4 linked regions of the Diceros bicornis minor genome follow. The protein of the gene in region 4 interacts with the protein of the main gene of each other region in a pairwise test. Links are inferred from orthologs where the notes say so. Each region holds a gene or a part of one and is shown on either strand. Other genes may lie near its edges. The genes, in order: SNX11, MYG1, SNX10 and ARL6IP1.

Region 1 (7,117 bases), on a different chromosome or scaffold from region 4:
AGCACCTGAGTGGGTTGCACAGTTGCAACCTTCCCTTATCTAATCCGTTCTCCGGAACCCAAGCCAATGGTTCTAATCATTTCCTCTCTTGACATGCCATCCGGTTTGTACCTCTGCCCAAGCACCCCACAGCTGCACAGGTCAGCTGAGGATGTTTTCCGCTCCTTTATAAAGATTCATTAAAGCCCAAGCCTCTGATTTCCCCCAATGTGGCAGTTTACATGTGCAGCGACATCGCCCACTCCGACAAGGGGATCATGAAGGCAGCAGCACAGGGTTACTCAAGTCCAAAGGGGCCCATGATGTCACCTTCTGTTAAAATACAGCACTAATCTTGTTACTCCTAGAACCACTCCAACAGCATCCACCCTGGCTGCCGCCTCCACCCCCTTCTCCCCTCTTAAGAGCGGAACAATAAGGTTTAATTTCCCTTTCCAATTTACCTTGAAATGAAAACTGACTTCAGCCAATATGTACTGCCAACAAATGATTCGGGCTGGCTCCTGGGAAAATGAGACTATCTCTATGCTCTCTTTCTCCTCCCCCCATGCCCATTCACACACCCACTCATTTTTACAGTCCCACAATTAATTTTAAACACATTCTCTTATTAGTTCTGCCTTACCATTAGAAGAGTGTGTAATGAGTTTCCTTTTATTTTATGTTTTGCTAACACAAGGCTAATGTTTCAAGAGAAGGCGAACTCATTTATACCACAAAATTAGCAGAGCAAACAGCTTTTCCAATTCTTTCCAGTACACCAGAAGGTCTCTCCACACATAGATACTGCATGCAGAGACAAAGCTGCATGGTATATGACAAAATTGGGCTGTACCGTTGAGCGAACCAGAGATTTTGTGATTGCAATACCATCTTAAACAGTAATCTTGCTGACAATCTGATTTTTCATCTGATGCAGTCACCATCGCAAAGGGGTCATGGACTGAAAGGTAGGAAATTCCACTTCCACAGCAACCGATGTGTAACATCCTGGATGTAAGCAGTGAAATGGCTGTGATCAAAAGAACAGGCCAACTCACGGTGAACAATTAACCACCTCGGATTAAAAAAAAATTTTTTTCTCTTCTCTTTTCAGGCATTTGGTAAATTGCCAGCACAGGAGCAGAGAGTTAAATATTCTGAAGTGTCTTTTCACAAAAGTAACACTAGAAAGATGATGACATGGAATCAGTTATCCACACACTCAGTGGAGCTCACACATCTCCTGTACCTAGAAAGCTTTGCCAAATTCAGGACCATAATTTAGTAACTAAATGGTCATCATTCTCAGGATCAAGAAGAATTTGCCTAGGGCTATGCACAACCTCTGAGCCCAAGTTCCTCTCTTTTCCTTTGGGGCTAATACCACTTAGAAACAAATAGCTATACACAGTTTAAAAAAAAAAACTAGGACCTCCAAGATGCTTAAATCTAAGTTTACTTAAATCTAAGTTTAAAGGGCACTAAAAATGTTTCAATTGTAACTTTCCTTAAAAACACTGGAACAAATACAAAAATCTAGACTCCAAGTAATAATTTCTAGCAACTACTATTCTCCATCAGCTTCCTACTCATATATGCCACTCCTCAGAAGGAAATGAAGCTCAGTTCTGCCCTTGGAGGGAAAGGAGGAAGTTCCTACCGTGAGTTCTGTGATCTGAGAGATAGATCTGCATGTCATCCAAATAAGGATAGTCAGTGACCCTCTCAGCTACTTATGCAACTCACTAAGTGCTAGCTACACTTCCAGGCCCCTTCAGTCACATCTGAAGTTTCCTTTACTTCCTCCACCTGTACCAGCACCAATGGCCCCAGGGAGAACCCAGTTGTTTGCTATTCACAAAGTAGATTCCTTGTAAACCTTTCCAATGTCATAACAATTCAAGGCTTCAGCTCCACCATTTTCACTCCCATTTAAACTAACTACTTCAAGGGGGCTGGCCCGGTGATGCAAGTGGTTAAGTGCGCGTGCTCTGCTGCGGCGGCCCGGGGTTCGCCGGTTCGGATCCCAGGCGCGCACCGATGCACCGTTTGTCAAGCCATGCTGTGGCAGTGTCCCATATAACGTGGAGAAAGATGGGCATGGATGTTAGCCCAGGGCCAGTCTTCCTCAGCAAAAAGAGGAGGATTGGCAGATGTTAGTTCAGGGCCAATCTTCCTCACAAAAAAAAAAATTTTTTTTAAATAAAAATAAAAAAATAAACTACTTCAAGAGACAGATTAAAAACCATATCAGGTGATAAAAGCATATTGCGCCACTGAGACTCCCATTTCTTCTTACTCATTCTTGAGCCCTGGTGGCAGACAGCAACTCAAAAAAGCTCTCCTTCCTAAATACTCACAGGTGGTGAAGGAAGCTCCCCTGTCTGACCAAGCTCTGTGTGTTCTCAACCAAGCAATTCTGCTCCATCCCTCCCTCCATCTGTAACTTGGAAGATAAGTCATAAAGGCGACCACAACTTAGCATAAGAGCCTCCCGTGTTCCCATAAAATACTTGCCATTACCCCTAGTCCTAGCCGTTGGGGTAAACGTTCCCCAACTCTTTTACTCCGGCCACTCCCCCTCCATTCTTAACGAAGTAGGAGCAAAAGGGCCACATGGTCCTTCTTCTCCTCTGCCTATTAAGCTTGGGGAGTGGGAAGGAAAGACACTATATACTTTAAAAGTTAGTAGAAAAGCCAGGTTTCCTTCCTTGGATCCCGAGCAAGCACCGCCTTCATCCCAGAGATGAAACGGCCCCTTCCCTAGGACGTCAAGCGAGGTCCCCACCCCAAGCGCCACTACAGAAGCTCGAGCCGGCGGCCGTCACCTAAGAGCAGCACGCACTCCCCGAGGCCGCGCCCGCGCCCCCTCACCTGAGAGCAGCACCCACTCCTCACAGGAACACCGCCGGCGCCCCCACCATATAGCCACTCGCGGCTTCTCCTTCCGGGTGAATCGCCGGTGCTCCGGTGCACGACGGGAGACGCCTCCCGACACGCCAATCCCGGGCGCCCAGGACGCCCCGGCCCTGCAGGCCCCGACTCTTAGTGGCGGGCCCCGCCCAGGCCTCGGCGGGAGTCGGGCTCCCCCGGGACTCACGTGGGCGCGGAAAGGTGCACGCGGGCGAGGGCCGGCGAATGGGCTCTGACGTCCAATCCAGGGCCGCGTCCCGCCCATCGTTGTCAGGCCCAGCCAATCAGCGGCCAGGTAGCGTCAGTGACGGTCTGAAAAAGGGTCCCGGGAGCAGAGAGGTGTGAGGAGGTTGTCACCGGAGTTTTGGTTCTGCAAAGGGCGGTCTTGGGTGTGGGAGGGCCGGGGAAGGAAACGCCCACGTTCCTGGAGCTTCGCTGAGTCTGGGGAGAGTCCCCATTTGAACTCTGCAGGTTGCAGTTCCTCAGCGGAGTTATCAAGGGAACTTCAACTCAGGTTCCTAAACCACAGGTGGTCAGAGCGAAAACCGAACTGAGACTGCCCAGCAACGCACGTTTCTCTCGACGAAACGAGCCCAAAGAAGGATCGTGCAGCTAGTTAGTAAGAAAGAAAAATCCGTTGAATATGATGACTTTTTTTTTAATGTTGTTGAAATGTCTTTTAACCTGTTTAAAGATGATTTTAGCAAAGATAATATCAATGAAAAAGTTGTGGTCACAGATCCAATCTCTGGGGTTAGACAACCTTGGAACCATACCGAGCATGCACTACACTGACCGTGTGGCCCTAAACTGGTCCTAAATGTTTGTAAGTCTTAGTTTCCTCATCTGTAAAGTGGAGATTATTGCACATACCTCTAAGCAGCTTTTCTCAAACTTGGTCTCAGGATCCCTTTACATTCTTAAAAATGATTAAGGACCCCAAGGAGCTTTTGTTTTTGTGGGATATTCACTGAGTTAGAAATTAAAATTGAGAAATTCAAAAACATTTATATATTAATTCACCTAAAAACGATTACAATAAACCATTACATGTTAATATATTTTATGAAATATAACTACACTTTATAAAACAAAAAAACAGTAGTGAGTAGAGTGGCATTGTATTACCATTTTGCAAATCTCTTTAATGTTTGGCTTAATAGAAGACAGCTGGATTCTCATATTTGCTTCCCCCATTGAAAGGGAGCAGAATATGCCATGCCAAATTATGCCACTTTGGCATGTGGATTATTTTGAGCTGAAGGTAATCAAGACCCAGCAGACTCAAGAAAAACTTTGACTTCTCCCTTAACTACCTAAAAGAATTTAGATAGGGGGCCTGGCCCAGAAAGAGCTATTACCAGAGATAACTTTTTATGTGAAAGACTTACTTGCATGGCAGGGCAAACATCTGATCATCAAACATCTGCTCTTTTTATCTTCCTGTGTATTTCCCTCCGGCCCTTTGAAGCCCCAGACCCCTATCCCATTTCTTAGCTTAGCATGGCATCTAAGCCTCAATTGCCTGCCTGCCTTTGGGTCTCATATTTTTATGGAGCTCCCATATGTACAAAATTAAATTTGTTTTTCTCCTGTTAATCTGTCTTATGTCAATTTAATTGTTAGACCAGCCAAAGAATCTAGAAGGGTAGAAGGAAAATTTTTCCACCCTGACACCATTCTCTCTGTTGTGCTGTATTATTTTGGCATAGGAAATGAAGAAATCCAGTCTCACAGAGATATATAGTTGAAAAGGGAGGAGTATTTTTAGCCTTCTCCAATAATTGTGGATACTCTTCTTTGATACTAGCAAAACTCAACAAATGGTAATTTCTTAAAGGTTAATAGTAGTGAGGAATCTGAAACCATTTGGAAAACATTGATTTACTAAGTTATGCAACTCTTCCAAATATTGATGCATTTCATTATTCAACATAAAAAATCAGATTTATTAAAATCATCTCTAATCTCATCAAGAAAATCTTGGGAAACAGACAAGCTCACTGCAGTGGATACCACATTTTCTAAAATTACCATTTTTGCTTGGAAGTTTAAATTCTTTTATCATTGTCAAAAATACTTTCAGTCATTTTTCTTTGAAGTGGCAGGCTCACTTCATTCAAATATCCAATATCCAAGTCTGAATAACCATAGTTTTTCCGTCAGTCATTCTTTCAAATAAAAATGGTGTTCTATGAAAAAAAGCAGTTAGTTCAGTTTACACGTCTCAAACAATTGCACAACCGTATACTTCAGTAAGCAGCAGAAGTGTTTTGTGTACATCTCGCATTTCATCACACAGAACATTAAAAAGACATACTCTAGGAGAGAGATTTCATAAAATTAATAGTTTGTACTGCTTCTTCAAGGATAGTCTTAAGTGAAAATGGCTTCTTAATTCTTGTTTTGCATAGGCATGGCAGTGAAGAATACAAGGACTCTAGTACAAGTTGGTGCTGCCCTGCCTTGATTAATGCTAAGGTGCCAGCAGTTTCACTCACTGTTGCCCTTGCGCTATCAGTGAAAATGTCAACACAATGAAAAAGAGCAAATAATGTCTTAATATTATTATGAAAATAGTTTTGACCATTCAGACTCCTTGAAACATCTCAGACACCTCCAGAGTCTGTAGACTGCACTTGGAGAAATGCAGAGGGTATCCATTCATCCAACAAATATTTATTGAGTCCCTTCTGTGGGCTGGGAACTGTTTTAGCATTAAGAATAAAACAGGCAGCCAAATAGGAAAGTACCCTGACTTCCTGGAGCTTCTATTCTAAAGAATATAAGGGCTTAGTATCATTGCCCCACATATTACTCAATAAATGTTTTTAAATAAATTCATTAAATAATTTGAATGTCATACAGGTTTCACAAATAGGTGCCCTATCGCTAGCTTATTTTTTCAACAGTAATTTCTAACACATGATAATGGGGCTAATCCTTATCACACCTGAAATGCTAGCAAATGATAAAAGTACCTCTCCAAGTAGTGATCCCTTCACTTGAGAAAACCAGTCACTGTCAAGGCTATGGGTCATGAATGGAGAAGTATAGGTTTTAATTAGAGTCCAGTTACTACTAGGAAGTCACATGAGAATCAGACTGACCAGGGAAGCTAAGAGAGACAGCTAGCTCTTAAGCATATTTGCCTTTAAAAGAGAGAGCTTGTTAACCCCAAATGAATAAATCTTTAACAACAGAATTTCAAGTAGTAGTCAAAATGAAACAAAGAATCTCACACCCATTAGGATGACTGCTATCAAAAAAAAGCAGAAAACAGCAAGCATTGTGAGGGTGTGGAGAAATTGGAACCCTTGTGCACTGTGCGTGGAAATGTAAAATGGTACAGCCACTGTGGAAAATAGTATGGCAGTTCCTCAAAAAATTAAAAATAGAATTACCATATGATCCAGCAATTCCACATCTGGGTGTATAACCAAAAGAATTGAAAGCAGGAGCTCGAAGAGATATTTGTACACTCGTATTCATAGCAGCGTTATTCACAATAGCTAAAACGTGGAAGCTACCCAAGTGTCCAACAACAGATGAATGGATAAGCAAAATGTGGTACATACATACAATTGGATATTCTTCAGCCTTAAAAAGGAAGAAAATTTTGACATATGCTACAACATATGTCCATATGAACCTTCAGAACATTATGCTAAGTGAAATAAGCCAGTCACGAAAAGACAAATACTGTATGATTCCATTTATATGAGATACTTAGAGTAGTCAAAATCGTAGAGACAGAAAATAGAATGGTGGTTGCCAGGGTAGGGGGAGGGAGGAATGGGAGTCTTTTGGGTATAGAGTTTCCGTTTTACAAGATGAAAAGAGTTATGGTAATGAATGGTGGTGATGGTTGCACAACATTTTGAATGTATTTAATACCACTGAACTGTACACTTTAAAATGGTTAAGGGCCGGCCCGGTGGCTTAGCGGTTAAGTGCGTGCACTCCGCTTCTGGCGGCCCGAGTTCGGATCCGGGGCGCGCACCGACGCACCGCTTCTCCGGCCATGCTGAGGCCGCGTCACACATACAGCAACTAGAAGGATGTGCAACTATCACATACAACTATCTACTGGGGCTTTGGGGGAAAAAAAAAGGAGGAGGATTGGCAATAGATGTTAGCTCAGAGCCGGTCTTCCTCAGCAAAAAGAGGAGGATTAGCACGGATGTTAGCTCAAGGCTGATCTCCCTCACAAAAAATAAAT
Region 2 (7,828 bases), on a different chromosome or scaffold from region 4:
AGAGCCTTTACTCTGTATTTCTTCCTTCTTTTTTCCCAGCCCCCTGTTCCTGGGTAACCTCTGGGATGTGACTGACCGTGACATTGACCGCTACACGGAGGCTCTGCTGCAGGGCTGGCTTGGAGCAGGCCCAGGAGCCCCCCTTCTCTACTATGTCAACCAGGCCCGCCAGGCTCCCCGACTCAAGTATATTATTGGGGCTGCACCTGTAGCCTATGGCTTGCCCGTCTTCCTGCAGTGATCCCTTGGAACTGTCCTATCGCTGATAGAAGCCATGTGACTGTTCTACCTCCAAACTTAGATTTAACCCTTAGGGTAAATTTTAAGTGATTTTCCCCAGTGTTTTATATGAAACATTTAACATTAATGTAATAAAGACACATTATTTAAATCTTGTTTTGTGTAATTCATTTGAAGACAAGACTATTGCCCCCCACCGACCATGTGGTACTATAAACAGATGAGAACAGCTCACAGGAGTTCAAGTCTGAGAGCCTTGGGGAGAAAGGCAAAACCACAGGACAAAGCTGGGCCTGGCTTGGCCTCAGCAGACAAAGCTGAAGGAGAGAGGGGCATCAAAATGCCTTAAGTGGGGACAGAGGCCCAAGGAAGGGTAGAGAGAGACCCACTGGGAGCGTCCTGAGCAGGCACCATCATTTCTGTCCTGTCTTCCTGCCCTCGGGTGTCCTGGCAGTGACATTAGCTTTAATGCCTCAGTTGCCCCCCCCAACTCCCAAAGTTGGACGTTAGAGGCCGTTCTCTCCCCACACACAGCTGTTACACTGGTCGGTGCCGTGCACTTCAGCAGCGGATTTTGTGGGGCTCCGCTGTTTATGCATGGTTTCTGTCTCCCCAAAGAGATTGTTAAGCTCCTCAGAAGCACAGACCTCTCCCCTATCCCTCCATCTAGCACACGGTAAGACATTGCATTGATTAATAAACCTTGTGCCGTACTCGTCCGTTGATAACGTGGCTCTTGATCATGCTCTCCACCCCTAGACTCCTCAGCTTCATGCCGACAGCACCACTTTCACGACGCTACTCCCCCTGACCCCGCACTTCCCAGGCGTCTTCCTTGACTCTCAGTCACCGGGTTTATACCATCCACGTGGAGTAGCATACATTGCTTTGCAAAATTGCGGTTATGGCCTGAGTACTTTTAAGATTTTTAAGTTCCTTGAGGGCAGGAGTCCTGTTTGCCACAATTTTACTACGCTAGGCTTGGGATGTCTTATGCAGAGAACGCACAACTACCTTCTCTCATCAAAGGCGAGTCTGAGAAGCTCAGCCCCTCCCGGGACGGGGATCATAGAGATGTCTGGCGCAGCGAGGCCTCCCGCGCAGCCATCGAGGCGCGCAGGGGAAGGCTAGAGCGCTGCTCGCAGAGCCGCCTTCCGCTTCGCTAGTTCTCCTCCCCAACATGGCGCAGTCGGTTAACATCACGGAGCTGAACCTGCCGCAGCTAGAAATGCTCAAGAACCAGCTGGATCAGGTGGGGACGGGCCCCAGAGACAGCCCTTTCCCCCCTCGCATCCCTCCTGCCCACGCGTACTCCCTCGCCCCCCTTCCTCCCCACTTTGGGAAGCTTCTCTTCCCAGGTGAAACCCCCATCAGGTCCCAGGACCCGCAGGTTCCCACTCTGACCCTCTTTCCCGTCCTCTGTAGGAAGTGGAGTTCTTGTCCACGTCCATTGCTCAGCTCAAGGTGGTACAGACCAAGTATGTGGAAGCCAAGGACTGTCTGAACGTCCTGAACAGGAGCAACGAGGGTATGGGGTAGGCGTGTGAAGGCAACCGGGGGGTGTGGCGAGCCGGCTTCCTCTCTCGTCCCGCCTCCTAATCCAGTTGCCCTTACCCGAGACGAGAAAGCAATCCGTTACATATTGTCTGCCGCTACACGAGCCCTTTGCATGGTGCCTGCCTAGCATTGAAATGTACAGGACATTCCTCTGCTCCTGTTCCCCGTTTCCCTTCTTTTCATACTATCTCTGGGCGCTGTGTCATGTTGGAGTTCCCTTTTAACATCTTAACGTCGGAGGTGCCCACCTTCCCCAGATGTTTGTCTTAATTGCTTTTACAGGGAAAGAATTACTCGTCCCACTGACGAGTTCTGTATCCTTTCCACACGAACTGCTACCCTGCCCTCTCCTTTTCTCCTTCCCCCCTCCCCAAAAGGGGTGGGAGGTAGTTTTGATTATTCCAGAGTGCCCCCATGGTTCTGAGAACACTCTTATTATACACACTTCGTAGCTCTCCTGTCTAACCTGGGGCCAACATCCAGTCAATGCCTTGTGAGCAGGAAATATGTAGAATTGAGGTGTGATTATTTCCTTTTGCTGTTTGAGGATATAATCTAATATGGAGATAAAACTGGTGGTTTACACTTTTACTAATAACTTAGAAGACATAAGCAATAGAATAAGAGGATATAGAAACAAAGGGATTGGCTCTGTTTATTAATCCTCAATTTCAGCTTAATTGTGGCTCTTATTCCTAACCTTTTGTTACTAAGAAACCTGGGTTGTGTCTACCTGTTGAGTGTTTTACTTGAGTAAGTTATGACAATAGGGCACCTGGAGACTAGTCTGAGAACTGACAGGCTAAAAGAGAAACACAGGAATAGCAGTGTAGTAGGGATTGGCTAGATAATGAGCACTAAATCCATCAGGAATTAAGTAGTTCATAGTTGGGAGTGCTGAGGGGAAGTGAGGCTGGCTTTTCACTTTTCACACTCTACAGCAGTGAGAATATATTATGTCTTGTCTTTCTGGAGGGGCTAATGGGAAGAATTGTAAGAACTGCTTGGAGGTGGGAGATGGGATCAGGGTAAAAGTGTTCCAGCCTATGTCATTTTCTCCACAAGGAACCAGCTTCTCTGTCTCTCCCCATTTGGAGTTTATAGGTATAGTTCTAGGGCCTCCAGATGATTCAGTCCCTGTGCCTCGGAGATTTTTAGAGAAGGAGGGTCTTAGAAAGCCAAGCAGGCTAGTGACAGGGAATCATGACTCCTGCTGGGCTAGTTTTCCCTTAATCCTTGCTTCTCAGATGTATGTCCCTGGGAAGCTGCATGATGTGGAACACGTCCTCATCGATGTGGGAACTGGCTACTATGTAGAGAAGGTGAGTGGGAGGAAGCATGTGCATACTCCTGTGAGCGGGGAAAGGGAGTTTAGGGGAAGACTAGAGTGCAGCATTGGAGTCTCCTCTTAGCTCCTCATTCACCTCTGACCTTGCAGACAGCTGAGGATGCCAAGGACTTCTTCAAGAGGAAGGTAGACTTCCTCACCAAGCAAATGGAGAAAATCCAGCCAGCTTTGCAGGAGAAGCATGCCATGAAACAGGGTAAGGTTGGCCTGGGGGCACTGCTTGACCCTTTCTATATCTATGATAGAGAACATGGATTGCAGGTGAACCAGAGGGGTGTCCCCTTTACTGGACTAAAACCATGTCTTTTTCTTTGGTGTTTTGATGTGTTTATTCTCTAGATTCTGTGCATTACATACCTGCTATTTGTAGATTCCTGGGGGTGGGGCGGCGTGGAGACAGTGCTTGAGAAATTGAGAGGAAGAAAATCATGTCTGTGCCCTTGTGGAGCTCCTATTAATTAGGATGGAATGGGGGAGAAGATACATGTAAGTGAACACAGGAAAGAAATAGAGCCATGGGCCGGCCCCGTGGCTTAGCGGTTAAGTGCGCGCGCTCCGCTGCTGGCGGCCCGGGTTGGGATCCTGGGCGTGCACCGACGCACCGCTTCTCTGGCCATGCTGAGGCGACATCCCACATACAGCAACTAGAAGGATGTGCAGCTATGACATACAACTATCTACTGGGGCTTTGGGGGGAAAAAAATAAATTAAAATTAAAAAAAGAAAAAAAGCCTTAACTAAGTACCAGCAATTGCAACCCTGGCTGCTGCACATTAGAATCATCCAAGGAGGTTTGAAAAGAAAGCCTGGGCTCATCCAAACCAACTAAATCACCCGGGGGGTAGGGAGGGGGATTCCAGGGGTCAGTGTTTTTTAAAAAGCTCCCCAGGTGATTCTGTTACACAGTCAGGATTGGGAACCACTGTTCTAAAGGCAAAAATCTTTTCCACATTATAATTTCCTGGTTATGTCTGACTCATTGAATACTGTATTTTGTTCATTTTCCTATCCCAGTGGTTATATTGACTGACACAGTGTAGACTCTAAATTTGTGTTAGTGTGTGTCCCCCACAGTGGATCACTGTTAAAAGTTTTATTAACAAACTGTAGCAGGTTGTCTGCCTGTCCTTAAACGTCCCTGTCACTTTTCCTGACCTCTAGGTTCTCTCCTTTAGCTCCTGACCAGGCTCTGACTTCTTTTTCACAGCGGTCATGGAGATGATGAGCCAGAAGATTCAGCAGCTCACAGCCCTGGGGGCATCTCAGGCTACCGCAAAGGCCTGAGAGCTTGTTACCGAAATGGGGCAGAGGCATCCGCTTTAGCGGCCTGGGACTTTGTGGGCGTGGCTTCCTGGAGTCGGGGAAAGTGAAGGGTCTTGTGTTTCTTGCTAATAAACGTGCCAGCGGGACAGAATGTCGGTCTTTTCTTGCGTTAAGCAAGGGCCTGGTGATGAGCTGGGGGCGGTGGTCGAGAGGGTGTGCCCCTCCCCCCTCGCCGGAGCCTGATAAGCTTGGGAGTTGCGTACTCGGGAACCCCGGCAGCGTGCCCTCCCTACAGGGCGGTTACCGTGGCAACGGCCGAGAAGCGGAAGTGGGGCTGCGCGTCCGCTTCCGCTTCCGGGTCCCCCCTCCCCCGCGGGGAGGCTGCATGGGCTGCCGCTTCCTGCGCGGGTTGTTGCCTCTGCTGCGGCCGCCGCCACCCCTGGAGGCCCGGTCCCGCATGCTCGGCCCCGAGTCCGTCCCGCCCCCCAAACGACCCCGCAGCCACCTCATGGCACCGCTCCGAATCGGGACCCACAACGGCACCTTCCACTGCGACGAGGCCCTGGCGTGCGCGCTGTTGCGCCTCCTGCCCGAGTACCAGGTACGGTCCGCGGAAACGGACCCTGGGACCGCCCCTCACGAGGGCCCTGTGGTGGCTCGGGCCCGAGCACCGCCCCTCCCCGCGCGACTCCTCTGGACACCCAGTTAATCCTCTACCCGCGCGACCCCTGGCAGTCCCTCACCTCCTGTGTCCCCTGCAGGACGCAGAGATTGTGCGGACCCGAGACCCCGAAAAACTGGCTTCCTGTGACATCGTGGTAGACGTGGGCGGCGAGTACGATCCTCAGAGACATCGATATGACCATCACCAAAGGTGGGTTTCCAGATTCCATGTCTTTAGCTTCCTTGAACTTTCCTCAAGTTCAGCTCCACTTCAGCCGTCCGCTGCTGTGGTCCGTGTAAGCCAAGGGATGTGCCTGCCTCATCCTTGAAAGCAAACTCTTGAGTCCCATGGGACTACAGCCCTCCATCCTTCCAGCTCTGCCTGCTCCGGGCCCATCCACCTGGCCTTGGAGCTCCCTGAGCCCTGGCATCTGTCCCGGCCTCCCTTGTCAGTCGTCAGGCCCCTCCCCACTCACCTTCCTTGGCTCAGTCAGGCTTTTCACCCCCCAGCACCATCATCACCCCCCCTAGTACCCCAGCTATTCATGTGCCTTTGCTGCCCGGCCTCAGACTGCTGGGCCCGCGTGATTGTGCTGGTTGCTGACCGTTCAGATGTGTGTGGTCTTCTGCTTCATTTACACTCTTCCATCGGGAAATCTTTCTTTTTCAAGGGTACTCGGTTGTCCACAATACCGTTCCAATCCTTTCCCCTCTCCTCAAGCCCTACCTTATCAGACTCCCTCAGTGTGTGATCCTGCCTCTTAACTTTTCAAAGGAAATTGAGCTTTTTCTGCATGCACGTCCTCAGCTCCCTCCTTCCAGCTCAGGAAACACTGCTCTCTTCTGCTTGCCCCTTTTCCAATCTCTTGCTTTCTCCTCTGGGACTCCGCATCACAATTCTCCCACCAGTGTTTCTACTTCTCCTTGCCTACAGCCTAAAACTCTGCTTGAGCAGCATCTCCCGTCTTGGAAACAAAGGAGTGAATAAAAAACAAAACCTCCGCACATAAACCACACTGTTTACAGCGGTTACTGCTCAGGGATTATGAGGAGGTTTTATTTTAAGTCTCTAAGTACTTCTCTCCCTTTCTCTCTCTCCTTCCTTCCCTCCCTCTCTTTTTTAAGTATACATATTACTTTCATAAATGATGTTGGGAGGGAACCCTCCTGGTATTTACAGCCTAATCTCTCACCCTCACTTGTCAGCCAGTCTTCAAAAGAAGAGCTGACCCTGGCTCCACATCCCTTCCAATTCATTCCTTCATTCAGCCGGTTCTCTCCCAATCTCGCCACTGGAAATGCTCATGGAAAGGGCACCAGTGACCTCAACACCAAACTCGGGTTGCTGACTGAGGGTCTCACCTTAACTGACCTCTTTGTGGCACTTGACTATTGACTACTTCCTTTTTCCTAATGATTTTATACACATTTTTTTAAATTACGCACTTTTTGACACATAGAAGAATGTATTGAACATTTCTGGAATGTAAAACATAAAATGAATACCCATGAAGCAATCTCCCAGCCTAAGAACTAGAACATTACCATTACCGTAGCATCTGTACCTGTGCCGCTTCCCTGCTGCATCCCCTTCCTCCCCCAGATGTAGCAATATCTCGAATTTTGAGTTCATCATACCTTTGTTCTTGTGTATAGTTTACCAGATATGTCTGTTTCCATCAACAATTTATTTAGTTTTGCCTCTTTTTGAACCTTATGTGGCGGGTTATTGTCATTAGTCTTTATACCTTATAAATATCTTATATTTTTTGTATTTACTCAATATTGAATAATAAGTCATTAAAACAAAAAACGAGCTCCCTAGGTGGTTGTGGCGGACCGGTATTTAGAAATTACAGCTGTAGTTTCTACTTCCCTAACAACTGTCGTACCTTTTTCCTGTTCTCTGTCCTATTGCTGTTCAAACTCCTGCCTTCCTCGCTCACCTGGACCTGGTAATCTGGAGCTAATCTCCTTGCATCTGTTCTCCAGGATGCTGGCTGGCACAGTGCTCTTCCCTGCTTCAAATCTCTCAATGGCTCCGCATCACCCACAGATAAAGTTCAAACTCCAAAGTGTGACGTACAAGGCCTGCCATGATCTGGCCCCTGCCTACCCCTGCAGCTTTATCTTTTGTCACTCACTCCTCACACCCAAGCTGCCTCACTTGCAGTTCCATGAGGAGCCCTGTTTCTCAGCCATTGTACGTGTTGTTCTCTCTACTTGGAATGCCTTTTCTCCCTCACCCTTTTGTCTGGTGAACACCCACTAATTCATCTTGCAGGAATGACCTGAAGGCTCTCCTCCTGAACCCTTTCCTCATCCCCTCCCCCCTTTTCCTTGTTTAAAACTAGCTGGAGCATTCGCTTGCTTGTCTGCATTTGTCTGCCTTTAGCAGATGAACTTGGGGGACAGGTCTGTTTTTTTATCCCTAATATCTAAAACACAAAGCCTGGCATGTGGTAAGCATTGAGTTAACCACTGTGGAGTGAGTGCACGAATGGAGACTCCAAGCCAAGGTCCATGTTGACCCCTGAGGAGGAGCCAAAGCCTCTACAACTCCGGCAGTATTCCCCAGCCTCCCCACCCCACTTGTGCCTGCGTGCCCGCACACGCTGTGGGCTAACTGGAGCCGCTCTGCCTCAGCCCCGCCTCCCTGTGCTCCTCAGATCTTTCACAGAGACCATGAGCTCCCTGTCCCCTGGGAAGCCGTGGCAGACCAAGCTGAGCAGTGCGGGACTCATCTATCTGCACTTC
Region 3 (7,282 bases), on a different chromosome or scaffold from region 4:
CTTGACCCTGGTTCCTGACACAGAGCACCTAAATCCCTTGGAATTTCCAAGATCGTTGGAGCGATCCCTAATGAGGCGACTTTTGGTGGGCTCCTGGATAGCTTCCGGATGGAGGCTGGTCACCAGAAAGACCAAGCCATGATTAGAAGCTTGGAACTTTCCACCTCACCCTCTATCCTCCAGGAAGGGGAGAGGGACTGGAGACTGAATTAACAATTGATCATGCCTGTGTGAAGAAGCTTCCATAAAAATCCTGAAAGTAGGGGTTCAGAGAACTTCTGAGTTGGTGGCACATCTACATGCCGAGAAGGTGGCACACTCCAGCTTCATGGGGACAGAAGCTCCTGTGCTTGGGACCCTTCCAGACCTCACCCTAGGTACCTCTCCATCTGTATCCTTTATCATATCCTTTATTATATAATAAGCTGGTAAATGTAAGTGTTTCCCTGCGTTTTGTGAGCCATTCTAGCAAATTATTATACCCAAGGACGGGGTCATGGGAGCTCCAACCAATAGCTGCTGGATCAGAAGTACAGGTGACAACCTGGAACTTGTGATTGGCATCTGAACTGTGCACAGTCTTGTGGACTGAACACTTAGCCTGTGAGATCTGATGCTAACTCCAGGTAGATAGTGTCAGAACTGAATTGAATCATAGGACAGCCAGCTAGTGTCACAGAACCGCTTGATATGTGGAAAATCCACACTTCTGGTGCCAGAAGTGTTGTGAGTGTGGTAGTAGTGTGAGAGTAAAGCAGAAAGATGGGAGTTTTTTTCTTATACGGTTGTGTAACGACGAGTGAACACATAGCATGTCACGTGGTGATAATTCTCATTATGGACATGTTAGCACTTATTGTAAATATTGGTCTCCTTACCTGCTTTTCTACTTGTGATAAAGCACGAGGATGTATTATTCTTAGTGCTTCACCTTTGAAATAAAAATTTCAACTACTCGTCTTTCAAACTTCTGAATAGTTTAAATTGAAGAAAATCTTAAACTGTTGACAAACTGTTACTATTTACAAATACTTCTCTGAGTAGATTAGGATTTTTCTCAATACTGAATAATCAAATAGAGAAATAGATTGGATGTGGACACTGATAGGACATTCTAACAATCACTCACAAACCCCTGATTTCAAATGTTGGTGTTCAACAAAGCAACTTCCCGTGGTCATGTATTTCTTTATGATAACAAATGTTACAAAATCAAATTCTTTAAATAAATGTATAGTAATAAAACACTGTTTTTCTCTATTTTATAAATGGGGTTCATTTGAAGAAAGGATCCCATTGTTAAAAACATTTGAAAACCACTAAATTGGACCATTGTAAAGAGGCTATTGTAGGATTCTGAGGGAGTTGAGAATTTGGACAGGAGGAAAGCAGAAAGTGAGTAACACCAAGATCTGACCATGAAGAAATGTATGGGACTTGGATTTGAGCGGATTGGAGGAATGCAGCAGGTCAAAGGCAGTGCTGAAGTTAGTAGGTTTGGGGTATTAACTGAGAGAACAGAAGTCCACTAACGAAAGTAAGGAAGATGGAGGGGTAGGTAGATGGATGAGAAGTCTCAACCCCTTTATCTTACAAATAGCTAATCAGGCTCAAAACTTTTCTCTAGTCTTTTTTTGGGAGAGGTGCATAAGAGAGATATTACATTAGATTGACAGTCAAGAATGGTTATTTTTATTCACCTTGATCTGTATGTGTTCGTACTATTGAAAAAAGATTATGATTCTAAGATCAGAAATCGAAAATCCAAATTATTTGTCATTTGTTTAAATTTTTTGCTCACATCCCATTATTGGTTGGTTGATGAATGATAAAAACCATTTTCCGTACATTATGAATATCTGCCGCGACAGTGTTTCTCAAGAAGGCAGGACCATTTATGTAAATTTAAAGATAAAGAGTTTTTGATGTAATGTTATGTAGTATAGTATCAGTTAATTACAATTTCTGAACACCAAGTCCACACAACTTCCTTTTTAAGCGTCTGTGAATTTTGCAATTTTCCCAGGAGATGGAGGATGGACTCAGTGTCTTCTTACTGACTTTTGAGTTAGAGGCAGGGGCTGGAGGTGGCTTTCCTTAATATGACTAACTAAGGAGATGAGGATCAAGTTATAATAAAAAAAGTTATAATAATGTTATAATAAAAAATAAAATTTATTGAGTACTTACTATGTACCCAGCACAGTTCCAAGAGCTTCCCCTGAGTCATTTCATTTAACCCCCTCAACAACCCTATGAGGCTGGTGCTATTATTATTATCCCCCTGTTTAAGATGGGAAAATGAGGCCCAGAGAGTTGAAGTTATTTTCTCAGGATCACATAGTGAGAGGTGGTAAAGCTAGAATTTGAACCCAGTTAACCTGACCCTAGAAACCACCTTTGAGGCAGGATTTGTGTAGGTGAAAGAATTTCCTCTTAAAAGCAATTTTATGGTGATTTTATCAGCAATTTAGGGTTTCTTAAGCACGAGAGAGTCCCAGGTTTTTACCTGCCCACTAATGGTATAAAAGATGGCAATCACTTAGCTTAGCCCCTTGGATTCAGGTTGCACATTACAATTCTTAAAGCCAGAAACACACCCAGCTGCTACACTGCTGGATTGGATTAAAATAATCCATTATTGCTTCATTCTAGTCTGAATTCTTTTCATAGTCTTCCTTTCTGTTAGGGCCATACTCTTAACATATTTAAATGACCTCCTATAGACTACCCAAAGGTTATCAGCTGCTCTGTCCACAGTTTAAGGTCGTGCTCTTGAGGATAATAAATTCAGAAAGATTTTAATTTTGCAGAATCTCTTAGGATCTTAGACACATACCGCATTTTGCTTTCCAGTCAATGCTTTTCTTTGTGGAGCATAAGGACAAGAATTTGAAAAATACACTTTGATTTGATTTTCAAAAGTGAAATTTTCAGAATTTTCAAAAGTGATTCACTTATGTATTATGAGTTGGGTGCAATTTTAGGAAATTAAGTCCCAGGGATTCAAGATTCAGCGATGCAAGTTCCGGATCCAAGATGTTAAGACACAACATTGTAGACTTAGAAGTTTTGTTATGCAAGGCCAAAATTTAGGAGTGGAGGATAGAGAGGTACATTTTCAGGTAGGCCTGGAATGGCCCTGAATGGTAATTGGCAGCCGCCTGTCTATTGGGAAAATTCATCCTTGAAAAATGAAAAAATTAGGCTACGTTTATTATTCTGTCGTGTAATCGTGCATTAGCAGTAAGTGATTATTGCATTTCTCCATACTGTTAAAAAGGAGACAACAGGCCCAAAACCGAGTCACCAAACAGAGACTTAATAACGAACTTAATTATACTTTCTGCCTCTCCCAGGAATAGAAGCTTAAACCAGTCAATCTGGAATTACCTGGTCAGCGCTAGTGAGGTGATCTGCCTGATAGACCCTGCCATCCCCTAAAGGAAAGTGACCTTGCCACCACCAATCCGAATTTTGCTAGTGTGACTTCCTTGTCCCACTCCCTTCTGCCTATAAAAGTCTTTCTTTTGTACAGCCACTCAGAGCTCGTTCTATCTGCTAGATGGGATGCTGCCCGATTCATGAATCATTGAATACAGCCAAACAGATTTTTGAAATTGACTCACTTGAATTTCGTTTTTTAACAATGCAAACAGGTGGGTCAGACTCAGCTCAAGATGCCATTTGGGAAATGGCTTACTGATTCAGGCTCCTTGGAAGATCTCATTTCTTTTCCCCAAACGTTTTATTATGAAAGATTTCAAACATACAGAAAAACTGAAAGATTTTACAGTGCACACCCATATGCCCACCACCTAGATTCTACCATTAATATTCTACTATTCTTGTTGATCACCCTGTCTATCCATCCCTCTCCCGATTCAGCAATCCTCCCCATAACTAAGCGGGCGGGGTTAGCAAGCTCATGGTGGCTTTCTAGGGGTTATTCCAGAGGGTGCCGCTTGCACACCTTCAGCCTCAGCGACCGGGCAAGCGGGGGTATTTCCTCGCTAGCCCGATCTGCGGACGCGGGGGGCGGAATCCGTGCTGCCGAGCGCCCCTCGGCGGTGGCGCCGGAGGTGCGCCTCGTCTTCCGCGGGCGGGAGGGCCGGGCGCGGCCAGCGGCGCGGCCCGCACCTGTGCTGGTTGGTGCGGTGGCGGAAGCAGGAGGCCCGGCGGCGGGCTGAGCGCCGGCGCGGGGCCGCTACGTGCGCGAGGAGCGCGGGGCTGCGCTCGGGTGCGCTCCTGGGCGCTCGCTGCCGCCGCCGCCGCGCCTTTGAGTCAGCAAACTCCGCCGCCTGCCGGTCCGCTGGCCCTGCCCTGCCCGGCCCTGCCCGGAGGAGCCGCCTGTAAGTGACAGGAGACCTGCCGGGGAGGCCTTGCCCACGCCGCCGGAGTGGGGGCCGCGGCCGGGCGGCGAGCCGGCAGCCCTTTCCTTTCCAGGGGCGCGGGGCACTTCCCGCAGCGCCCAGCTCCCTGCGGGCGGGGAAGAGGTTTGGGTCTCCTGGGAGTGGAGCCGGAGCTGCCTCCTTTGCAGCCGAGGTGTGCGGGCGAGGACGGAAGGGACGGGGTGTGCTTGCCGGGGAGGGCAAGGAACGTATTGATCCAGGGGGTCACGGCTAAAAAGACACCGCGGGGAGAGGGTGGGGCAGAGGTGGAATCCTGGATGCCAGGAAAAGTGCTGTGGCACCTTACGCCAGGCCAGGTTTGGGTAGGTATTTTTTTATTCACGGAAGGGTAGCTTTGAGTTTAGAAATCGGGAGGGGTGGGCAGGGGTTTTTTTGTGGGTTTGTGGGATTGAGGGAAAAGGCCCGGGAGAAAATCCACGTTGACTGATTACCAGGTTTGGTGCCACCGGAAAGCAACAGCCTGTTTTTCAGTTCTGATGCATCATATTCTGTAAGATTACACACAGGTTATTGAGGGAATGGTCACAGGGACGGAAGAGCTTGAAAGGAAGGGCTTCTATTTCTGCAAGACACGTTTCCATGTAAGAATAATGGGTTTAGAAATTTAGAGCAGGAAGGAGGCTTTCACGTGATCCCGTAGGACAGGGAAACTAAGGCCCGGGAGGGGAGTCAGTCAGCCAGACGCCCGCAGAAGCAGGCCCAGATTCTGGTGGGCTTCTGACTTCCGCTGCAGAGTTCTCCCCACGGTTGGGGACGTGCGGCGGGGGTGGGCTTGGAATGCAAAACTCCCTCTCCGCGCCTGGGCCTGAGGTGGACGCCAGTGAGAACCGGCAAGCTCTGCTGGGGCTCCTCAGTCCCACAACGGAGGTGAGGTGGGGTGGGGGTCTCCTGCCTCTTCTTCCATCATCCAGGGATGCCTGTTCCTAAGGCCTTTCTATTTTCTTTTTAAGGAATGGCAGATTTAAGATTGACTAATGGGACTGTTTTGAATATACAAAAATAAAATACGTTTAGAAGTAAATACATGAAGGTGTGAGGTAGGGTGATTAGCACTGACTTGTGTTTAACTGCTCATCCTGTTTCTTCTGCCAGTCCATTTCGTTCTCACTTCCGACGTTACTATTTCACCCCTGAGGAAATTGATGTTGCAAGAGTGGGGTCTTGCTCGGATGACACTGCTTCTCGCCAGGGCTGTCTTGTCTGGCAGTCTGCTTCTCTCCCCGCCGCTCTGGGTTGTGGTACCAACTTCCTCTTGTTTTACTTATGGGAAGGCCACCTGGAGCTTGGTATCGAAAAATAGAAATAAACACCTTCATTCTTTTCCATATGAAAGTGTATTAATTAAAGACTAATGTTTGTGTTCTTCTACAGCAATTTTCCATGCCCTTGGAGCACTCTTAGTAGATTTTCTCAGCCTTAGGATCTCTACCTTCATTTTAAAGGGTTCATTCTGTTAATTAAGCTATTGTGGGAAATGGCTTCTCTTTCCTCTTTTGGTGTCTGGTCTGTGAACCACTGGTGAAGGGCTTAGAACTGGTTGGACCACAGTCTAACCTCTGCAGACTTTCATTTCTAAGAGTGGCAAAGAAGGGCTTTTGGCCAAAGTGACGTTGACCTCCATGGGGAATACCGCAAATTTGGGACTATTTTTACTGACCTCTTTCTTTCTCTTGTATGAATAGTGGGTATGAATCAGCTCTTCTGTTCGCTAAGCCCTGTTCAAATAAGAGATTGTACGAGGTAGTGGTTACAACTTCTGGTTTTGGACTTATCAGAGTTGAAATCTTGGCACTGTGATTTGACCTCTTGGCTGAGGTACTGTCAGCAGGGCACTTAACCTCTCTTAAGTCTGATTTATCCTTTATTCAGGAGTAAAAAAAGGTAGTGATAATCATTGTCTGTCAGAATTGTTGGTAATAATAGCCGACGTTTATTGAACACATATTATGAGCTAGGCATTGTGAAAAGAGTTTTTATGTGGCAGTCTCATTAATCCTCCCAACTAACTTATGAAGCAGATCCTATTTACATCTGAGGAAACTAAGGCATCAAGATATTTATGACTTCTCTAAACTCTTCATAATTTTAACCACCCAGCAAATGTGTCTCAGATTTCTAATATAGCTAATAATTATTTAGGGCTTGGTGTGTGCCAGGCCCTGTTTCAAGGACCCTATGGATATTAACAATCCTTGAGATAGGTCCTGTTTTTATCCCCAACCCCCCTTTTTTTAATATACAAATGAAGAAACTGAGGCACAGAGCCTAAGTCAGACAATCTAGTAAATGATGGAGCCAAGATTTGCACTAGGCAGCCTGGCTCTGGAATGGGTACTCTCAGCCACTCCCCTGTGAAGGTGTGTAAAGGGCTCAGCCGGGCGTCAGTCAAGGGCAACTCTGAACTGGCACTTTATTTTGTTTTTCTCTAAGTAGCCACTCCCTCTTTCTGGTCTCTGCAGAGGAAATGCTTTTAGTTCTGTAAATGATGCAACTTTGCTTAGGATTTTGTGATTCTGTATACATTTCTGTTGTATTCTCTTATTTTTAAAAGCTTGTGATAAGTGTCAGTGATCTTGACCCTGGGAATACAGAGGGAGACCTTAGGAAGTCTATGAACCCCCTGAAAATGTATGGTTTCATTCTCATGTGCAAAAGTGCATTGTTCTGAGGGAGAGAGTCCGCAGCTTACTTTAGAGTCACCCACGGTGGAAAGAAAGGTTAGTACTGACTGTTCTATTCCGATAATCTCATTTGACAAATGAGGCAACTGAAGCCCAGTGGAGAGGCAGAATAACTTAATTTGAACTACAGAGCTAATTAGAAGTAGAAAGAGGACTAAAACTCAGGTCTGTTGACTTCCAGACTCATAT
Region 4 (7,132 bases):
ATCATTATTTCCGGTTATGAGTTCTTAACAGTTTGCTAGGTGATTGTTAAGATTCTTTTGTGTCTGACACTTGTGGTGAGTTGTTTTTGAGATCTGTGAGATTTCTGTGTGAGAACTGATAATCAGCCTCTTGATCTGCTTCCCTAAATGGTTTTTTTAGACCCCAAACCCCAGGTTCAGGGTGAGGGTTTATAATACAAAGAAAAACTTCCATCACTTCTGCCCTTAACACTTGCCTCTGTTACCTTAAGGCTTAGTATGTAGTTTTCTTAATATTGTCCAATGTTTGGTGTTATCTGCCTTGGTTTAATTGCAGGTTTTTGTTTTTGTTTTTTAATTGTGGTTGTTCTGATGTGTGAAACTTAAGGAAAGAGCCATTAAAAACTGCCGAGCAGGGCAATGCAAGTACAGCCAAATATTACAGTTGATGTGCAATCTTAGTTCCTTTTAAATCTGGGGTTTTATAGGCAGTACTTTAAATTGAAAAGTCTTCCTGGCCTATTTTCCTCCACATATTTGTAATTACTCTGGGGGCTTACTTGTTTTGGCAGTACTAAAATCAAAGGAGCTGGTTCTTCTTTTCTCCCAATTCTTTTCCTATTGAAGAAAGCACCTACAATAAGCCTGTTAGTCGTATTCATATACATCAAAAATCAGTGACTGCTTTATTATTAGCAATTTAAGTACCTTTGTTTTACATAAAATTAGAACCATTGACCTTCCATTCTATATCTTCTTGAGCTTGTAAAATGCCAGTAATTTAGAGCTAGGACTTCCCCCCACTTAAATCAAGGAGGTAGAATATATTAAATAAGGGTCACTTAAAGAAAGTAGTTGGGTTGTATTAGAAAGTTTCCTCCTGTGGGGAAAAACTAGCTAGCATTATAGATTTTTCCAGACATTGGGGAAGGGGAAATTCACTGTATTATGAACCTCTTAAGGGTGTGTTGCACTTTTCCTGCTTTTTAGGCCTGGGTAACTGTCATCATCCCTTATTTACAGGAGGGCAAATGGACTCAGGCTGAGAGAAGCTTCATAGGTTCAGGGGTTAGTGGTACAACATGAACTGCTTAGAGTCTCTTGCTTTCTGTGGGAATTTGACTGGGCTTACTAGGGAAAAGCTGTTTGTTGTGCTAATGTAAAAATGTCATACAATTAGCTTGACTTTCGAAGATGGTAAACTTAAGGAACTGCTTGTTTTGAAATGCAGACTTGTAGAATGTTTTCTTTCTTTCAAAACAGGCTGATTTTTCTTTTTCTTTTCCTGCAAGTCCAAGTTTCAGCTCTTGTTTAAAGTTCTTGTGTCAGTTATTTTTCTGGTTTAAATTTCCTTATATTTCCAGCTGTAATGTCAGTGGCACCATCATACTTCACTTACTTGTTAATTTCCTTCACCCTTATTATAAGAGCAAATTGAGTTGAACTGAATCTTCCTTGTCCCAGTAACATTGTATAAATAAAGTGGCTTCTCTGTACAAAAGGTTGTAATGCCTCCTGATGGGTATAATTTTGTGATTGTATTTAAGATTAAAAGTTGAATAAATCACACCAGCTTCCTGAAAATGTTCGTAATGCATCTTTTGGAAAACAAAAATACATGCCTATGTTCTGCATATTTGCATTAACATGGCAAAGATTGTATGAAATACCTGTTTTTCAAAAAATAAAGTCTTAAAAGACATAGCATTTAAGCTCTGAATTTATTGGTTGAAGTAGGTTCCAGAAAACTTAATTTTGGAATATGGGTAGTTTTTTTTTTTTTTAAGCATTAATACCTCCAAAAAAATTTTTTTAAAGCTTAATTCTCTAAAAAGTAAATTTTTTACCCTCCAAGTTCTATTTTTGAACAGCAGTGGAAATTTTACTTCAGTGGGAAAGTTCTTAGTATTAAGGTACAATGTATTAAGCTTAATTTTGTCAATATTTAAACAAAACTGTAGAACATTATTGACATGTATGTTCCCTGGGGTATGAAAGCTCAGAAGGAGAACAGAATTAAAATGTCCAGCTTGTTTCATTATCTGGAAATCAGATTGCATTTGTTGCTGCTAGTTTATGTTAGGAGGGTTTATGTTAACTGTTAAGTCATTTGGCACGTTTCAAAAGATCACATCCTGTCCTTGTAGTACAAAAACAGCACAAAAGGAAGCTACGCTAAGGGTAGGCTTTTTTTTTTCCCTCTAATAAGGCCAATTGTAAGTTAAAGACAGACCTTACAGCAGCACTTAGGCTCTGAAGTTGCAGATAGGTCTGGGAACACATTCCTTGAGTAACAAAAATACTCCATGGAGAACTTCTGCTGTTTGAGTTACTTAAATTCTTTTCACCTACCTCAATTTCACAAGCTGGTGTTGAAAAGTCTTTCTTCTTAAGTTGTACATAGGGAACTTGGGTGAAAACCAGAAGCATTCTGTAGCAAAAGCTGATCTCCAAAAGTAGAAATGTCGATGTTTAAAGCCTAATAACTCCTTGGCCTCGCCTTTGGCAGTGAATGTTACTGTGCCTGTAAGCAAATTTTGCCTTCAAAGTGCTCAACATATGCACTATTATGTGGCTGCTGATTGTTAGGGACCTTTTAATTTTCTTTTGAAGAGGTAGGGGAGGGCTTGCGACTCGATAGCTTTAAAGTCTCCCAAAATGGGGTCTCTATGTGACTGCATACATCACCTGTTTTTTTCCCCCAACATCCCCCAAAGTGGCACGTTATTGAAGAGGCCCCTTCCCTTGCAAAGGCTCCCCCCCACCAAGTGTTGATACCTAATCCAGTTGCTTTATTTTTTTCACAGATCCATGGCAAATTTCACACCCTTTCATGAAATTCACAATGTTCCTGCCCCCCTGGTTCTCTTAGGAGCTGCATGTGCGCTATAGCTGTATTCTCAAATTTCTTTATGCCTTCCCTGAACTCTTAAGAACCTGGTAGTTATTTAAGGAATGCTTTTAAAGTAATCTAAATTCGATGGCATAATACAGATGACTATAAAAGGATAAAAGGCTGGAAGTTAAAAGCTATGATAAATTTTCCTGAAACAGACAATGTGACCAGGTCAACATTTGGCCTGATTTTGTTTGTACCAAGTAAAGAAAATCAAAGCACTTGTTAATGCATGTTGAAATCCTGGAGAGAAAAGGAAGTGTCTCAACATAGTTCATCTAATTCCTAAATTGCCTCTGAATCCCACGGTTTGCATCTTTCCTTAGCATGACTTACAGTGTAAGAAAGGTTCTGTCAAAACGAGTCCTTTTTTGGATAGGGAGCTCGCAGTTTCCTAAGTAACTGAAGTGCCCCACAAGGAATTTCCTTAAAGACTCCACGTAAATAAGCCAACTTGATAAGTCAGTGCATTTTTCACAAGTTCTCAAACTAGACCCAGATCCTCCTCCCTCCCTATCAAGCTAAGGCCGTATTACTAATGGGTAGGAAGGAAAAACTGCAAAAAATCTACATAAATAGCTCTTCTCATTTGTCCTCAAAACCTCAAGAGGTGGGCACGAGTCTCCGAGTCACAAGTCTGGGCTAAACCGCCCGGTGGCCTGACCAGAGCGGGGATTAGAAGAAAGGGGGAGCCGCCCAGGGGCACAGCGAGGGCGGGGGGCACCCGCCTGGTGGGGAAGGGGGTCCCAGCCGACCCCCTTCATGACATCGAGGTTAGCGTCCCAGGCCCATCTCTGCCCTCCGCCTGATATGCGTGGCATATTTCTTCGAGGACTAAATTCCAGAGAGGCTCCTTAGCTGCTCTGAACTCCAGCAGAAGAGGCTCCGAAGACGACCGCAGCGTCCACGCCTGGGGCCAGCGAGGCCAAACCAGACCCGGGGCGGCCGCATTTCAACCGCTGCCGAGAGGCCTGGGCGGGGCGTCGCACATCTCCTGGGCGCTGATTGGTCAGTCCCTGCCCCGCCCCCTCGGCCCGGAGCGGCCCCGCTCGCCTTTGACCTCGATTTCAAGCCATGCGCTGGGCAGCGGTTGGTCCGGCTCCCCTTAAGCTTGAGCTCGATCTGCCCAATGAGGAGCGAGCTTCGCGGGGTCTGTCGGGAAAGGCAGCCAGCCTATATAAGCGGCTTGCGGGGCGTACCCTCGCGCTGGAGTCGTTGTGCGGGTCCTGCAGTAAGGCTGCGTTGGAGGGTGGCTGGCGCTCGCTGAGCGGCACCTCGGGGACGATGGCGGAGGGAGATAATCGCAGCACCAACCTGCTGGTGAGCCCCGGGGCCTCGTCGCGGGGGAACCGAGCGGGGCCTGCGGACGTGGGTGGGCTCAGGGAGGCGGCGCTGCGGCCTCGTTCCTGTCACCGCGGCGGGCCCGGCCCTCCTCTCCCGGCTCCCAGGCCAGGCGACGACGCCTGCCCCTCGGGCTTCTTGGGTGGCAGTCCCTAGTCGTGTGGACCCCTGACGTCCCCTGGGGAAGGTGCGGACCGGCCGAGGAGGGCGCGTGATCAGTCACGAAGAGGGTTGAGTAGGAAGTGGGCGAGGGGGCTGTGACGAGCCTGGGGTGCAGCCTGGGCCAGACGGCCGCGAGGGGCCTGTGGAGCGCTTTGGGGGCCCAGGCCCCAGCCGCATCCGGGTTTCCCCCTTCTTGATCTTAACCTGGATGTCCTTTCGTTTTTTTTCCCCCCAAGACTTGGACAGGAGTGGAGGGTCAAAGGGCTGCTGCCCGGTTGTTAGAGCTGGCACAGCTTAAAACGGCAGGGAGGCTGCGAGTTCGCCGCGGGGAACTGGGCGTGGGGTCCAGCTGGAAGGACAGTGGGCGTCCTGGCGTTGGTCTGGAATTTGTAAGCCTTTGGGGGGGGTCTCAGGACGACTTCAGAAATAAGCAGGGGTCCGAAGGAACCGCAGTGAGATGGTATCCCAGGCGGGCAAGTGTAACCCCTCTGCGAATTTCACGGCATGATCTAGGCAAAAACGAGAGAAATCCGTGCATTTTCTCCGTTGCCTTTCCCCAGGGAAAGACAGGCCACACGCCACAACCACAATGAATAGAGGAACCAAAGAATTTAATTTTTCACTTTTGGTTTTTCCGAGAGCCCAGGTGCTAACGAATTAAGTGACTTTGCAGGGCAGTTTTGATTGTGCGTGATTTTCATTTTGCATTGGTTTTTAGAAACGCATGACCTGCCCCGTTACACACACAGACCACACCCCTTCTCAGTGCTGTGCTTAGTTAGCCCTAGCCAGGTTGCTTTTAAGAGGATTGACTGAAGCACAAAGAAGTTGCCCAGGTTCACACAGCTGTTGAAATGACAGATCCTGGCCTGGTGCTCAGCTGCTCTTGCCCAGCAGAGCAGTGTAGCTTTAAGGGGAGCGAGGCCTTTGACCTTATTTTTTCCTGGATTCACATCTGTTAACCTTTGTGTGGCTCAGCTTCCTCTTCTCTAAAATGAGGTTAGTAACGCCACCTTCCTTTTAACTTTTTGGGAGGATTAAAATATAAGCATATAAAATACTCAGCAGAGTTTCTGGCACATAGTAATTGCTTATTTAACTATATTAAGCATAGTATATGAAGTCAGAAATATTGACACCTAAGTGTGATCAGTGTGGCTCAGATAGCATTTTCATTAAGATTAAGCTGCACTCTCCCCTGTTATTTGCATGTTTCCCTGTAATAACATTTATAAGGACATGTTCCAGTTTTTTTTCCTCTACCCAAATCAGCTTAAGGGCTTTTTGCCGCATTAGCTCATCCTAGAAGTCTGCTTTCAGCTGATAGTCAGATTTGCAGAGAAATTTGAGGTCTAACTAAAATGTCCTGATAAGTGTAAGAAGCTCTGTATTAAGGAGATATATTGAGCTAAAATGCTTCTTATAATTTGGCGAGTTTTCCTTAATTGTGTAAATGATGTCAACATCTAAATGATTCCATTACACAAAGAGCTATTTTAGAAATTGCTGTTCAGGGAGAGGCTTTCCTAATGGATTTAGAAGGAGGGGTTTAAATCAATGGAATGACAAAACAGCAGATCAGTTCTAACTACCTGAAATGGGGGAATTGAAAGTGATCTAATTTTATACTTTGGGCACTGCCACTTAGTGCATGACTTTGGGAAAGTTGGTTAACCATTCTGAGCTCGCTTTCTTTCATTGTAAAATGGATCTAATTGTCCCTACCTTGAGGGGCTCTATAAGGATTATGTTACATCGTGTATGTAAATAATAGCCCAGTACTTGGACTTGGACGGGGACCATTAAATGATAGTTTTTTCCCCATTAATTTCTGTCTTTGGTACGAAAATTGCAGTTTTTTGGAAACTAACTTGTTTAAGATAGTGATTTGGTTAAGAGCTATTTCACACACACTTGGTGCCTTGGAAGAATTTAACTCTCTAGGAACCACAGAAATGTTGAGAGTGGTAAAATGACCGCTTTAAATGTTGGTCATGCGTAGGCTGCAGAGACTGCGAGTCTGGAGGAGCAGCTGCAAGGATGGGGAGAAGTGATGCTGATGGCTGACAAGGTCCTGCGCTGGGAGAGAGCCTGGTTTCCACCTGCCGTCATGGGGGTGGTTTCTCTGGTGTTTCTGTAAGTGCACTGTTCAATTGCTATGGATTGTGCTTGTTATTAGTAAGGGCTCAGGTCATACACAGCCTTCATTTAGTCTTTTGTGTAATGTATAATCTGTAAAGAATGCCTTTCCTTAGAGCAGTTCGCCTAGTTTTCAGAATTTGTAGTACTTATGTAAACTCAGTAACCTAATGCAGTTGAATAAAGACCCTTTGCACTCCTAAAAAGTATTGAGGACCCCAAAGAGCTTTTGTTTCTTGGTATTTGCATTAACCATTGCAGCTATGATGTCATCATGTCATGAAGCTTTTGGAAAACCACTTGTGAGAAAGTTAGAATGAAAAGGGCAAATAACATCTTTGAGAACCAGAGGACTCAGTGAATAAGCATCTTCAGCTGGGAATAATAATAACTATGGTTTTCTAACCTTTATTAATTTTTTTTTTTTTAAAACAGGACTATCTACTATCTAGATCCATCTGTTCTGTCCGGTGTTTCCTGTTTTGTTATGTTTTTGTGCTTGGCTGACTACCTTGTTCCCATTCTGGCACCTAGAATTTTTGGCTCCAATAAATGGTAGGTGGCCCAAGGATTTGGCAGTCTAATTTCTGAGAAGTTCCTGAACCTGGTGGCTGT

Evidence for each region.
Region 1: the proteins of ARL6IP1 (region 4) and SNX11 interact in binary tests that used the Homo sapiens proteins (3 or more experiments, as listed by UniProt). The two-hybrid records come from large-scale screens. The link is inferred for Diceros bicornis minor from reciprocal best matches to the Homo sapiens genes ARL6IP1 and SNX11.
Region 2: the proteins of ARL6IP1 (region 4) and MYG1 interact in binary tests that used the Homo sapiens proteins (3 or more experiments, as listed by UniProt). The two-hybrid records come from large-scale screens. The link is inferred for Diceros bicornis minor from reciprocal best matches to the Homo sapiens genes ARL6IP1 and MYG1.
Region 3: the proteins of ARL6IP1 (region 4) and SNX10 interact in binary tests that used the Homo sapiens proteins (3 or more experiments, as listed by UniProt). The two-hybrid records come from large-scale screens. The link is inferred for Diceros bicornis minor from reciprocal best matches to the Homo sapiens genes ARL6IP1 and SNX10.

The regions. Positions count from the first base shown.
Region 1 is NC_080757.1:37,807,742-37,814,858, forward strand, and holds the start of SNX11 (sorting nexin-11), read right to left. Parts: upstream 3,039-7,117; 5' UTR 2,857-3,038; intron 1-2,856. UniProt on the Homo sapiens protein: Phosphoinositide-binding protein involved in protein sorting and membrane trafficking in endosomes. Regulates the levels of TRPV3 by promoting its trafficking from the cell membrane to lysosome for degradation.
Region 2 is NC_080756.1:16,969,848-16,977,675, reverse strand, and holds the start of MYG1 (MYG1 exonuclease), read left to right. Parts: upstream 1-4,778; 5' UTR 4,779-4,793; coding exon 4,794-5,009; intron 5,010-5,169; coding exon 5,170-5,282; intron 5,283-7,740; coding exon 7,741-7,828. Other genes in the region: ESPL1 (separin), read left to right, coding at 40-241; PFDN5 (prefoldin subunit 5), read left to right, coding at 1,421-1,492, 1,666-1,768, 2,080-2,111, 3,045-3,119, 3,236-3,341, 4,353-4,429. UniProt on the Homo sapiens protein: 3'-5' RNA exonuclease which cleaves in situ on specific transcripts in both nucleus and mitochondrion. Involved in regulating spatially segregated organellar RNA processing, acts as a coordinator of nucleo-mitochondrial crosstalk.
Region 3 is NC_080742.1:51,251,695-51,258,976, forward strand, and holds the start of SNX10 (sorting nexin-10), read left to right. Parts: upstream 1-4,234; 5' UTR 4,235-4,352; intron 4,353-4,417; exon of another isoform or gene 4,418-4,545; intron 4,546-4,695; exon of another isoform or gene 4,696-4,714; intron 4,715-7,282. UniProt on the Homo sapiens protein: Probable phosphoinositide-binding protein involved in protein sorting and membrane trafficking in endosomes. Plays a role in cilium biogenesis through regulation of the transport and the localization of proteins to the cilium.
Region 4 is NC_080765.1:33,439,457-33,446,588, forward strand, and holds the start of ARL6IP1 (ADP-ribosylation factor-like protein 6-interacting protein 1), read left to right. Parts: upstream 1-4,085; 5' UTR 4,086-4,159; coding exon 4,160-4,195; intron 4,196-6,380; coding exon 6,381-6,514; intron 6,515-6,952; coding exon 6,953-7,072; intron 7,073-7,132. UniProt on the Homo sapiens protein: Positively regulates SLC1A1/EAAC1-mediated glutamate transport by increasing its affinity for glutamate in a PKC activity-dependent manner.